Sus scrofa: one gene and its partners. The protein of the gene in region 2 binds, or shares a complex with, the protein of the main gene of each other region. Links are inferred from orthologs where the notes say so. Each region holds a gene or a part of one and is shown on either strand. Other genes may lie near its edges.

Region 1 (3,742 bases), on a different chromosome or scaffold from region 2:
TGAGATAAGGCATAGAAAGTGCATGATGGGCACTATGCATGTGACATTGGCGTTAGCCATCCATATGGAATGAAAAGAGCTCAGACAGGGGCCAATTCTTGGCCCTAGGGCAAAGGTGGCTTTTATTTCCTTTCTTGGGAAGAGAGAGGGATGGGAGCATTTCCATACACCAACCTAAGGAAGGGGTGGGCACACCCCCCCCCAGGAGGATGCTGGAAGAGCTAGAGGACCATTCAGAAGGGCTCCTCCGAGTCCACGAGCTGGCCCTGGGCTGCAGGGTGTGCCTGAGGTCACTCCTCTTGGGGTGACAGCACCTGCAGGAGTGGAGGCACATGGAGGTATCTGCTGGTGTTCATGAAGAAGGGGGAGCAGGTGCCCTGAGTGAGGAAGCAGGGGGCTGGGGCAGCCGACCCCACGCCCAACGCCTGCCCAGGATGGCAACTTTCATAAGGCCTGGCTGGTGGGATCCTTCTCCCAAAAGGGGCCACTGGGGCCCAGAGGCATTGCTCGATCCCATGGCTGGTCCTTTAAATGTCCATCTCAAACTGTGACTCTTCACCTGGGGAGAGAAGGAACAGAGGGTCAGGTGAGCAAAAGGAATTGGGCAGGGCTGACATTCTAGAGGCCAGGAAAAGGCACTACTTCCCATTCTTCTGTCCCTACCAGCAGAGCAGGGGCCAGGTTTGGGCTGCCAAGAACAGAGGAAGGGTGGGACCAGGAATTCCTGGAAATACATGTCCAGCTGTGCTCCCTTCCTCAAGTCTTAAAGGCAGAGCAAAGACCACATCTCCCAGCAGGAGAGGTGACAGCCCTGAATTCCATATAGGCATTATTATTATTACTACTACTATTATTATCATTGGCTGTGTCCATGGCATGCGGAAGTTCCTGGGCCAGGGATCAAACCTGTGCCACAGTAGTAACCCAAGCCACAGCAGTGACAATGCCAGATCCTTAACCCACTGAGCCACCAGGGAACTCTAAATGTATCATTTTTAATAAGTGTGAATGGTTCCTTGTGATTTGAAATATATACAACTTCACAGACAAATATTCCTTAAACATAAAACCCTTTTGAGCACATGTCCCAACTTCTTGTTTAGAAAACAGTACCCTAACCTACCAGGCATATATCCCACTGTGTGTGGAACAGCCTGACCCAGCCTGACCCTGTGGTATGGCAGTTATTTGGGTAATTTAGCCACTCACTGCCCTCACCCAACTCTCACCATTACCATTTCCAAGTAATTCATGCTGCAGGGGGTTGCTTTTCTTTTCTTTTTTTTTAGGGCTGCACCTGCGGCATAGGGAAGTTCCTAGGCAAGGGGTCCAATCTGAGCTGCAACTGCCAGCCAATATCACAGTCATGGCAATGATGTATCCACATCACATTTTAGGGCAGTTCACGGACACTATGCTGGGTTCTTAACCTGAGCCACAACAGGAATTCTTGGTCCCTTGGCTTCTTATATCCAGTTAAGCAAAAGAGAAAATCATGCTGGCACCCCCCTCCACTAAACCCCAACCCAGCAACTGTGGGGAACACTAGGCCATGATTGTGGGGTCAGAGTGGTCCACCTGGGGGCACTGCTGGGCCACCCTCCATTTGTTGTGGGACAGAACAGCTCTAGAAACTGGGAGGGAAGAGGGAGTACAAGTGGGGGCAACGGACCAGGTGAGAGTGATGCAGCAATGTCAGGTGTTGACAACCTCCATCCTCAACTTCCAGTCTTCAGTTGCCCTCCTCATGCTCCCTGTGTGTCTGAGTCCACGCCCTTCCACCCCCTGCTCTCCTTGTCTGAGGGTGAGGCAACCAGCCTGTCTTGGGTGGTAGGGTTCCCAAGGTAAATATGAATCATGTCCTGCAGGCCCTGGGGAGATGGCTTCTGCTGCTCTCAGCAGGGCCAGCCCAGCCTGAGGTCCCAGCTGCTTCCTGTCTGGGCTTGGTGCACTGCCTTCCAGATAAAGGGTCAGCAGGCTGCCCGCTGACTCAGGTTGTCTGCAAGTGCTTATGCTGCATCCTCCTGCAGCAGGAGCACTTAGATGCCCGGGGCCAGCCAGTCCCAATGCCACAGACTGCGTTCACCTCTGCCAGGGTGGCTGCTCTGATGACTTGGGAGGATGGAGGTGGGGGATGGAGAGAACAAACACCAGGAAGGACCCAGCTACTGTGTCAAACCTGCAGAAACAACTGGTTGCGGAATTCCCCTTGTGGCTGCTCAGGTTAAGAATTGACTAGTATCCAGGAGGATTCGGGTTTGAGCTCTGGCCTCGCTCAGTGGGTTAAGGATCCAGCGTTGCTGTGAGCTGTGGTATAGGTCGCAGATGCGGCTCAGATCCCATGTTGCTGTGGCTGTGGCGCAGGCCAGTGGCCACAGCTCCGATTCAACCCCTAGCCTGGGAACTTCCATATGCTGTGGGTGTGGCCCTAAAAAGGAAAGGAAAAACAAAAAAACAAAAGAAACCGGTTGCACTGTTTCTCCTCTGTTCATCAAGAATCTACTACAGACAACACCCTAGCAGAAGGCATCCTAGAAGCCTTTCTGATACAGACATGTAATTTCCTAGAGGGCGAGGACACTGGGCCTTTGATAGGTCACCTCCAGCACAGGAACATCGTGGGTATGTTCCAAGTGTTGCAGTCGCCTGGAAATGCTTCAGGGACAACTATATAAAGGTTAGCAAAGTGGCTGTGTGGTCCCCTCTTGTTTCAAACAAGCTCCCCACTAGTGAGTTGCCAGATGATGGCCTTTCCTGGGTTCCTGGGCCATTTTCATGGGGAAAGCTGGTTGGGATGAAAACTCTATGCTCCATCCCTACCTCCATCCTCTGGGCTCTGGGCTGCTCCATGGAGGGTGGGGTGATCGCCAGTGTTTTCCCTGAACTCCCCCCAGCGGATGGGACCACACATGTTCCTTCCCAAGGGAGAGCCTGGCCAAGTCCTGCACTCACCGCCCGCCCCCGCCGGCTTGTCGTCTGGGCTACTGCGCAGGTGGTTCTGGCTGGCATCTGTGGGGGGCTCATCACCCACAGGGCTGGTGACCCCGGGAATGGTGGGCAGGTCCCTCGGGGGCGTTTTGGTCACAGGTGAGTTCCGACACTCCATTAGGAACTTCCGGTCATAGATGATCCTGGTACCTGGAAGGGGGTGGGAATACTGTTAAGCATCTCGAAGTCCCCACCTGCTCTTTTTCCTACTTCTTTGAGGTATGGCTGCAGCACAGGTGGCAGGTTTTCCTACAAAAGCCAAGGGTTAAGGAACATCAAGGATTGCAAGCAAACCATCAGAAGCTCAGGGGGTTGGGAGAGGAGTAGGCTGGATCAAATTCTTCCTCACAGCCTCAGAAGGAACCACCCTGCCAACCCCTTGATCTCGGACTTCCAGCCTCCAGAACTGAGACCACACATTTCTGTTGTTGTTTTGTTTTGTTTTTTGTCTTTTTGCCATTTTATTGGGCCACTCCCACAGCATACGGAGGTTCCCAGGCTAGGGGTCTAATCGGAGCTGTAGCCACCGGCCTACGCCAGAGTCACAGCAACATGGGATCCGAGCTGCGTATTCGACCCACACAATAGCTCATGGCAACGCCAGATCCTTAACCCACTGAGCAAGGCCAGGGATCGAATCTACAACCTCATGGTTCCTAGTTGGATTTGTTAACCACTGCGCCACAGCCCACAGTGCTGGAAAAACCGAATCCACATTCACTAAGGGACACCCATGGGGATACAGGGGGGCATG
Region 2 (3,642 bases):
ACCAGAGCCTGCTCCCGCTGCAGCATCGCAGCCTCCGGGAGACCAGCCCAAAGCTGCCGAGCCCTCTTCAACGGGCGTTCCTTCTGTGGCCTCACAGCGGGAGACGATAAAGCTGGACCTTGTCATTTATTTATTTTTGTCTTTGTTTTCTTTTAGGGCCGCACTCGCGACATATGGAGGTTCCCAGGCTAAGGGTCTAATCGAAGCCATAGCTGCCGGCCTCCACCACAGCTCCTGGCAGCGCCAGATCCTTAACCCACTGAGCGGGGCCGGGCTGGAACCCGCAACCTCATGGTGCCTCGTCACATTCGCTTGCTTGTGCCACGACGGGAGCTCCGCAGCTGGCCCTCGTCACCTGAGTTCCACATCTAGCTCCGCGTCACGTTTCCCGCGGAGGAGGCGCCAACGAGCAGGACTTGTGTTTTGCAGGCTGAGCACAGGACCATGACGGCCTTCATCCTGGCCGTGATCGTCAACAGCTACAACACGGGGCAGGCGAGTGTCACCCCGCGTCCCCACCCCCCGGGCGCCCCGGGGTCCCGAGGCGCCGCCCGAGGAACTGCTCCGAGTGATGGAACGGTGACCTCAGGAGGGGGGTTCCGGGTCCCAGCAGCCGGGGGCTCCATGGGAGGAGCAGCGGCCCGGCCCCTCTGGCTGCAGCTGGGGGAGCTGGAATTGGTGGGAGTGAAGTGCGGGAAATTGAGCACGTCCTGCGACGGGACCCAGCACAGTCCCCCCAAGAAAAGCCAGGTGCTGGGGTCCGGCCCGCCACCCTCCTCCCTGCTGGTGGTCGGGGCGTGATGGGGTGACGCCCTGCACTGCCGCCTGCTTGCAGGAGGCCTGCCTCCAGGGGAACCTGATCGCCATCTGCCTGGAGCAGCTCAGCGACCCCCACCCCCTGCTGCGCCAGTGGGTGGCCATCTGCCTCGGGCGGATCTGGCAGAACTTCGACTCGGCCCGCTGGTGCGGCGTGAGGGACAGCGCCCACGAGAAGCTCTGCAGCCTCCTCTCCGACCCCATCCCCGAGGTGCGGCTGCAGGACGGCTCGGTGCTGGAGGCCACCTGCTGGGGGCAGGAGCACGGGCTGGCCTCTGGTCCCAGCAGCTCTCGGCCCTGGTGGGGGTGGGGGGGAAGCTCGTGCCTCGTTCCTCCCTGGCTAGGGCTCCTCTGCGCTTGGGGCTGGGCTGAGAGGAGGGCCAGCCGGCTCAGGGTGACCGCCGCCCTGCCCGCAGGTGCGCTGCGCAGCAGTCTTCGCCCTTGGCACCTTTGTGGGCAACTCAGCAGAGAGGACGGACCACTCCACCACCATCGACCACAACGTGGCCATGATGCTGGCCCAGCTCATCAACGACGGCAGCCCTGTGGTGCGGAAGGTGGGTGCCCCCCCTCCGCAGCCCGCGACCCTGGGCCGCAGCCGCGGGCTCTCAGTCCCCTGGCACGCACCCTGGCCAAACGCACTCTCCAAAGTGCGTTTCTTCACCAGATACTCATGTTTGCTTCATTGAAAGGTGTTTAACAGGCCACGTCTCCGGGCAGCTTGTACAGTAGGCAGCATGTGCCCCCCACGGAGGTTCAAAAGCCGTGGCCTCTCAGGCAGGCCCGGGGTGTGCCGCGTTCTCCCCGCCCCACCCCACACGTTTGTCTTGACTGAGCCCAGCAGTCTCTGCAGTGGGAACCTTGCCTTGTCCGTTTAGATGCAGAAATACCATGCTTTCCGTGCGAGGTCTCACTCCCCTTCCAGGGTTGGCTCAGCACAGCTCAGCCCGCCCCTCCCCCAGCCAGAAGGGGCCGTATTTCGGGTGGACGCAGGGCAGCGTGGTCCTGTGACCGTGAGCGGAGGTGCCGCGGTCCCCAGCCTGGAGATGGCTGTGCGGGGAGGGGCTGTGGTCTGGGGGGGTTTGCTTGGAGAGCTGTCTTGGTGGCAGGAACTTTCAGCAAGTTCCCATCAGCCGGGAACCACTCATCCCGCCTCGTGCCCCCGGGGAACGTGAGGCCAGCTCCCAGGACGCCAGGGTTTCTAGAGAAGCCTTGGCTGAGGACGCTCCGCAGGCGCCTCGGCCCGAGCTCGGCTGTCTTAGCTTCTGCCCGACGCGGGCTTCCTGAGTCAAAGGCTGCTTTTTCCCGAGTCGCATTGCCTCTGGTGGGTGTCACCCATCAAAGCAGCAGATCAGCAGTCTCTCAAGTTGTCTGTTGAGACTGCTTCCAAAGGAAGGAACGCTGTCTTTTAGCTCTTCCCTAACAAGCTTTGAGATAAAAAAGAGCGGTGATGAGAATAGACTACCCGAGGGACCAGGGAGTGGCCGCCAGGAGCACCAGAGCCTCCGCGCTCTCAAGCCTGTGTCCACATGTGCCCTGGGCGCCCTTCTGGGCTGGAGTCCACTCACCACCCCGTGACCAGCCACCCGACGCCCGTGGGCAGCTGTGTGGGCAAGGCCTGCTGGTTCTGAGTGTGACAGCGCTAGACTGTGGCGAAGGCGGACCAGCTCTGCCGGGAAGGGGAGGGCTGCCCAGAGGGTCTCGCATCTGAACGTGTCAGCCCCCCGCTGGTCTTCCCAGGCCTGAGAATAGCGTGAGGCCAGCCTGCGCCCAGCCGCACCTGACCATGGGCCTCCCTGGGGCCGGGTCGATCTGCTCTGGGTCCAGCCCAGCCCTTTCAGCCCCTCACAGTGGAGGGAAAATGGGTGCTTTTTGAAGAGGTGCAGGCTTCGTCTTCACCAGGAGGAGCCGGCAGGTGCCCCTTGGCGGCCTGCTGCTCTGCAGTGGGGCTCAGCCTCACCCGTGGGAGGAGGCCCTGCGGGCTCTTCCCCATCCCACACCACGGCACCCTCACCCTACGTCTCTACAAGGCCCTCCAGCCCTGTCGCTCACACCTGGCGGTCAGCAGTCACCCCGCCAGGTGTCCCAGGCGTTTTTGGAGGCCGTGATCCTGACACCCTGCTTGCTCAGACGCCTCTGCCCACGCTGGGTGCTCCAGTGCTGTGTTGAGCGGGGAGCCCCTTTCCCGGTGCCCAGCACGGTCTGTCCCCCATCCTTCTCCATGGTGGCTCCAGCATGCAGCGCCCGCATCGTCTCCCAGCCCCACGTCAGCGTGCTTGTGCCTTCTCCCGGCAGGAGCTGGTGGTGGCTCTGAGTCACCTTGTGGTTCAGTACGAAAGCAACTTCTGCACCGTGGCCCTGCAGTTCATGGAAGAGGAGAAGAACTACCCGCTGCCCTCTCCGGCCGCCACAGGTATGGTGCCACGGGCATGGCGCCACAGTTACAGCGCCACGGGTGCGGTGCCAGGAGAGCCCTCGAGGCTCGTGGAACTGGAGCCCCGTCGGGACTGTCCACAGGCCCCTAAGCCCACAGGCGAGTCCTGGCCGCTCAGGTGTCTGCGAGTCCCGCCTTCCCCGCCCCGAAGAAGGGCAGGGCCGCCCCCTGACGCTTCTCCTGCCTCTCCGCCCTCTTGCGAGATCCCAGTCCTGGAAACCCGGAAGGGCGGAGGTGCTGCTTCTGGGCCTCAGGGAAGCTCGTCTCCCTCCGTGAGAGTCCTCACGTCTGTCCTTGTCGCCTAGTTTGCACGTCTTCGTCTTGGGCGGGCCCGGCCCCCAGAGCACAGCCGTCCCTGCGGGAAAAAGGCTTGTGATCCACCTCAGTGCAGC
Region 3 (3,642 bases), on a different chromosome or scaffold from region 2:
GGGGCCTTGTCCAGCTGAGCCCCCCCTCCGTCCCCTCACTTCCTTTTGGACACTGAAGTCAGGATGGGGCTGCAGGCAGGGCTCTGCAGGTGGGAGAGCACGGCGACCAGCCGTATGAACCCGGGGCTGGCCTGGCACCTCCTTTCGGATGTCCAGACAGGTGGGCATGTGGCCGCGCTGGTTAGTGCTGGCTGAACTGCTTCCTTCAGGATAAACCCAGCGTGTGGAGCAAGGGAAGGAAGAACGGCCTCGATTCAGAGAGGTGTAGGTGCCAGGGTCCTGCCAAGCTCCCGCCCGCCTTTCCTGCTCAGAGGCCTGAGGATGGGGGAGGACCCACGAAATGGGGGTAGGGGTGGGGGGAGCACTGCCCGAGGGTGGTCTTGATCCCACCACGGCCCCGGTGCTGCACGCTGGCGCTGACGGTCTGTGCAGCCAGGTGGGTGCCAGGCCCTGGCCACGCCCAGTCCACAGATGCCAATCACACCCTGGTCATGAAAAGAGTGAGCCGAGGGCCTGGCGCTGTGCCCACTCACCAGAAAGGCACCTGTTACACCAGCAACAGGGCAGCCAGGCCCCTGGGGACACTGCTCAGTTGTGTGCAGGCCTGACAAGCTGCTAACGACTGGAGGGTGACTACAGTGGCCCTAACCCATCTTACCTGGGGACCAGCAGGCGCTGAGGCTGCTCCTCGGCTGCCCCTCCAGGCCGCCTCTCCTCCGTGGGCTGACTGGCGCCATCGCCCCCTCCGGGCAGCCCGTCTGCGGCATCCCCCGGGGGCCCTGAGGTGTGTGTCAGGCACTTGTTGGGAGTAGGGGCTTTGGGCTCCTGCAGGCCAGGGGCGTCTTCGGAGGGCAAGGCCTCCAGGGCGGGCCCCGCCTCTGGCAGTCCGGGAGCTGCGCCCTTGGCACTGGCCTTGGCCAAGCCAACGTGGGAGGAGCTGATGACGCTGCCAGAGCCACACTTGCCCCGCAGACTCTCCGCAGCGTCCTCCCTGCCGCCCCCGCAGCCCCCGCAGCACACGCAGGAGTTGAGGAGGCAGTCGGCAGCCGTGGCGCTCAGTTTGTGGGGGCCACCGTCCGTCCCCTCTGCCGCCGGCTCCGACGGGGAGAAGCCGTCCCCGGGGACCTCTGCGCTGGCGAGGGTGGAGTCCAAGGAGGCAGGCGACTTGGGATTGAAGATGACCGTGGCTGAGAGCTTCATGCCCCCGGTCCGGTGGGCGATCAGCTCAGCCGTCTCGGCAGCGTCCGAACTCACCTCCCAGCCGTCGAGGTGCGGCCGGGAGTCCAGGCAGCTGCAGGAGTTGGGGCCCCCTGCCCGCGCCCCGTCGCCCTCGACGTTGTTGTTGTCGTTCCCGCCCCCCTTGCCCGCGTCAGCAGGTGTGCTGGCGCCCCGCTCCCTGCTCTCCCCGCCTGGCCCTCTCTCCTGGGGGTCAGCGCTGGCACTGCCCGCCTGCCCAGACGGGCTGCCCCGGGCCTCGGCCGCCCCTCCCACGTCATCCATGAAAAACACCCTGCCCTCCTCGTCGTCACTGCCCTGCGGCAGCCGGGCGCTGCCTGGGGACGCCGGCCCTGGACTGCCCGTGGCGCCCAGCCTGTGCGCAGGGGACTGGGTGGCACTGGGTGGGGACAGGAGCGAGGACATCTCGTCGCCGGCTTTGTGCACCAGGCGGCTGAGCTGCTCCAGCTCCTGGTCGTCGTACTGCATGGAGCAGGCCAGCTCCGCCTCCGAGTTCTTGGGCTTGTCCGCCAGCAGCTCCTCTGGGGCCAGGGGTTCGGGAAAGGCGGGTGCCAGGGCAGGCGGCACCTGGGCGTCTGCCCGGATGGGGAACTCCACCTCCTGGGAAATACAGAGGTTCCGTTCCAGCGTGTGAAGCTCCTCTTCGGTCAGGGTCTGCAGCAAATCCCTATAAGGGTCAAGACAGAGAACAGGGGTGTGTGTGGACAAGGCCCCCAGAGCCCCCAGCAGAGAAGCCGCCGGGCGGCCGCCACCTGCAACTAACCTCAAGGCGCACGCCCCCTCCACTGCAAAAAGAGGTGGGGTCTCCGAGGCTCCATCGGGACAACAGCCACTTGGCATGGCTGACTGTGATTCTAGGGTGGGCTTGTCCGTAGAAATGAGATTCTGAAACCTCTTGCTCATAACAAGCCCTGGTTCTTTTTTTTTTTTTTTTTTGGTCTTTTTGCCTTTTTTTTTTAGGGCCACGCCTGTGGCATATGGAAGTTCCCAGGCCAGGGGTCGAACCAGAGCTGTAGCCACAGGCCTACGCCCCAGCCACAGCAACGCGGGATCCTTAACCCACTGAGCGAGGCCAGGGATTGAACCTGCATCCTCATGGATGCTAGTCCGGTTTGTTAACCACTGAGCCATGACAGGAGCTCCAAGCCCTGGTCCTCAGGGACATGATAGCTGCACTCATATAAAGTTTTAGGAGTGAAAAAAACATGCCTTTTACATATAGATTTTCATTCTTTGGTTCAACATGTATCACTGAGCACCATCTGTGTGCCAGGGATCGAACCCATGTCATGGCAGTGACTTGAGCCACAGCAGTGACAATGCCAAGTCCTTAGCCCAGTGAGTCACCAGGGAACTCTCATCTTAACCATTTTTAAGTGACAGCTCAGTGCTATCAAATGCATTCACATGGTTGTGCAGCCATCACTATCCCCACCCCACGACACCTTCATCCTATAAATCTAAAGTTCTGGGCCCATTAGGAGCTTCCACTGTGGCTCAGTGGTTAACAAACCCGACTAGGAACCACGAGGTTTTGGGTTCGATCCTTGGCCTTGCTTAGTGGGTTAAAGATCCGGCGTTGCCGTGAGCCATGGGGTAGGCTGACAGCTACAGCTCTGATTCCACCATTAGCCTGGGAACTTCCATATGCCACAGGTGCAGCCCTAAAAAGATAAAAGACAAAAAATAAATAAAATAAAATTCTATATCCATTAAACCCTAACTCTTCCCCTCCCTCCAGCCCCGACAACCACCACTACCCTTTCTGTCTCCACGCTTTTGACTATTCTAAGTGTAACTGGACTCACACATCGCATTTTCGTGACTGGCTTATTTCATTTAGTATGACCTCAAAGTGCGTCCGTGTCGCATCTGTCAAAATGTCCTTCCTTTTTAAGGCTGAATAATACCCATGGCTTGGCTGGACCACACTTTGCTTATCAATTCATCTATCAGCCGATGCTTCCACCTCTCAGCTCCTGTGAATGGTGCTGCTACGAACATAAGTGTGCAAGTATCTCTTCAGGAAGCTGCTTTCAATTCCTCGGGGTGTAAACCCAGAAAAGGAACTGCCAGATCATACGGTAGTTCTATTTTAATTTCTTCCTTTCTTTTTTTTTTTTGCTTTTCAGGGCCGCACCCGCACCCACAGCACATGGAGGTTCCCAGGCTAGGGGTCCAATCAGAGCTGTAGTCTCCAGCCTACGCCAGAGCCACAGCAATGTGGGATCCGAGCCGCGTCTGCGACCCACACCACAGCTCACGGCAACGCCGGATCCTCAACCCACTGAGCAAGGCCAGGGATCGACCCGCAACCTCATGGTTCCCAGTCGGGTTCGTTGACCACTGTGCCCCGACGGGAGCTCCCATCCCCTTTTTTCGAGGCAGCCGTCCTCGGGGTGTGCG

Evidence for each region.
Region 1: the proteins of RPTOR (region 2) and EIF4EBP1 are in contact, whole or in part, in a cryo-EM structure (PDB 6BCX), measured with the Homo sapiens proteins. The link is inferred for Sus scrofa from reciprocal best matches to the Homo sapiens genes RPTOR and EIF4EBP1. Residues at the interface, in NP_065812.1 of Homo sapiens: Arg54, Arg305, Thr317, Asp321, Phe337, Arg338, Leu341, Ala344, Arg348, Leu437, Gln438, Leu440, Leu441, Ser442, Gln443, Arg446, Tyr475, Lys478, Leu479, Gln481; in NP_004086.1 of Homo sapiens: Glu111, Ser112, Gln113, Phe114, Glu115, Met116, Asp117, Ile118.
Region 3: the proteins of RPTOR (region 2) and ZFYVE28 are in contact, whole or in part, in a cryo-EM structure (PDB 9F43), measured with the Homo sapiens proteins. The link is inferred for Sus scrofa from reciprocal best matches to the Homo sapiens genes RPTOR and ZFYVE28. Residues at the interface, in NP_065812.1 of Homo sapiens: Arg54, Arg305, Arg306, Thr317, Asp321, Phe337, Arg338, Leu341, Ala344, Arg348, Leu437, Gln438, Leu440, Leu441, Ser442, Gln443, Arg446, Pro474, Tyr475, Lys478, Leu479, Gln481, Ser482, Ser483, Ala484; in NP_066023.2 of Homo sapiens: Arg399, Val400, Phe401, Phe402, Met403, Asp404, Asp405, Val406, Glu407.

What each region holds. Positions count from the first base shown.
Region 1 is NC_010457.5:48,422,716-48,426,457, forward strand, and holds the end of EIF4EBP1 (eukaryotic translation initiation factor 4E-binding protein 1), read right to left. Parts: intron 3,139-3,742; coding exon 2,953-3,138; intron 560-2,952; coding exon 528-559; 3' UTR 286-527; downstream 1-285. UniProt on the Homo sapiens protein: Repressor of translation initiation that regulates EIF4E activity by preventing its assembly into the eIF4F complex: hypophosphorylated form competes with EIF4G1/EIF4G3 and strongly binds to EIF4E, leading to repress translation.
Region 2 is NC_010454.4:1,747,232-1,750,873, reverse strand, and holds part of RPTOR (regulatory-associated protein of mTOR), read left to right. Parts: intron 1-429; coding exon 430-495; intron 496-835; coding exon 836-1,027; intron 1,028-1,232; coding exon 1,233-1,373; intron 1,374-3,111; coding exon 3,112-3,229; intron 3,230-3,642. UniProt on the Homo sapiens protein: Component of the mechanistic target of rapamycin complex 1 (mTORC1), an evolutionarily conserved central nutrient sensor that stimulates anabolic reactions and macromolecule biosynthesis to promote cellular biomass generation and growth.
Region 3 is NC_010450.4:1,243,394-1,247,035, forward strand, and holds part of ZFYVE28 (lateral signaling target protein 2 homolog), read right to left. Parts: intron 1,904-3,642; coding exon 659-1,903; intron 204-658; coding exon of another isoform or gene 182-203; exon of another isoform or gene 1-181. UniProt on the Homo sapiens protein: Negative regulator of epidermal growth factor receptor (EGFR) signaling. Acts by promoting EGFR degradation in endosomes when not monoubiquitinated.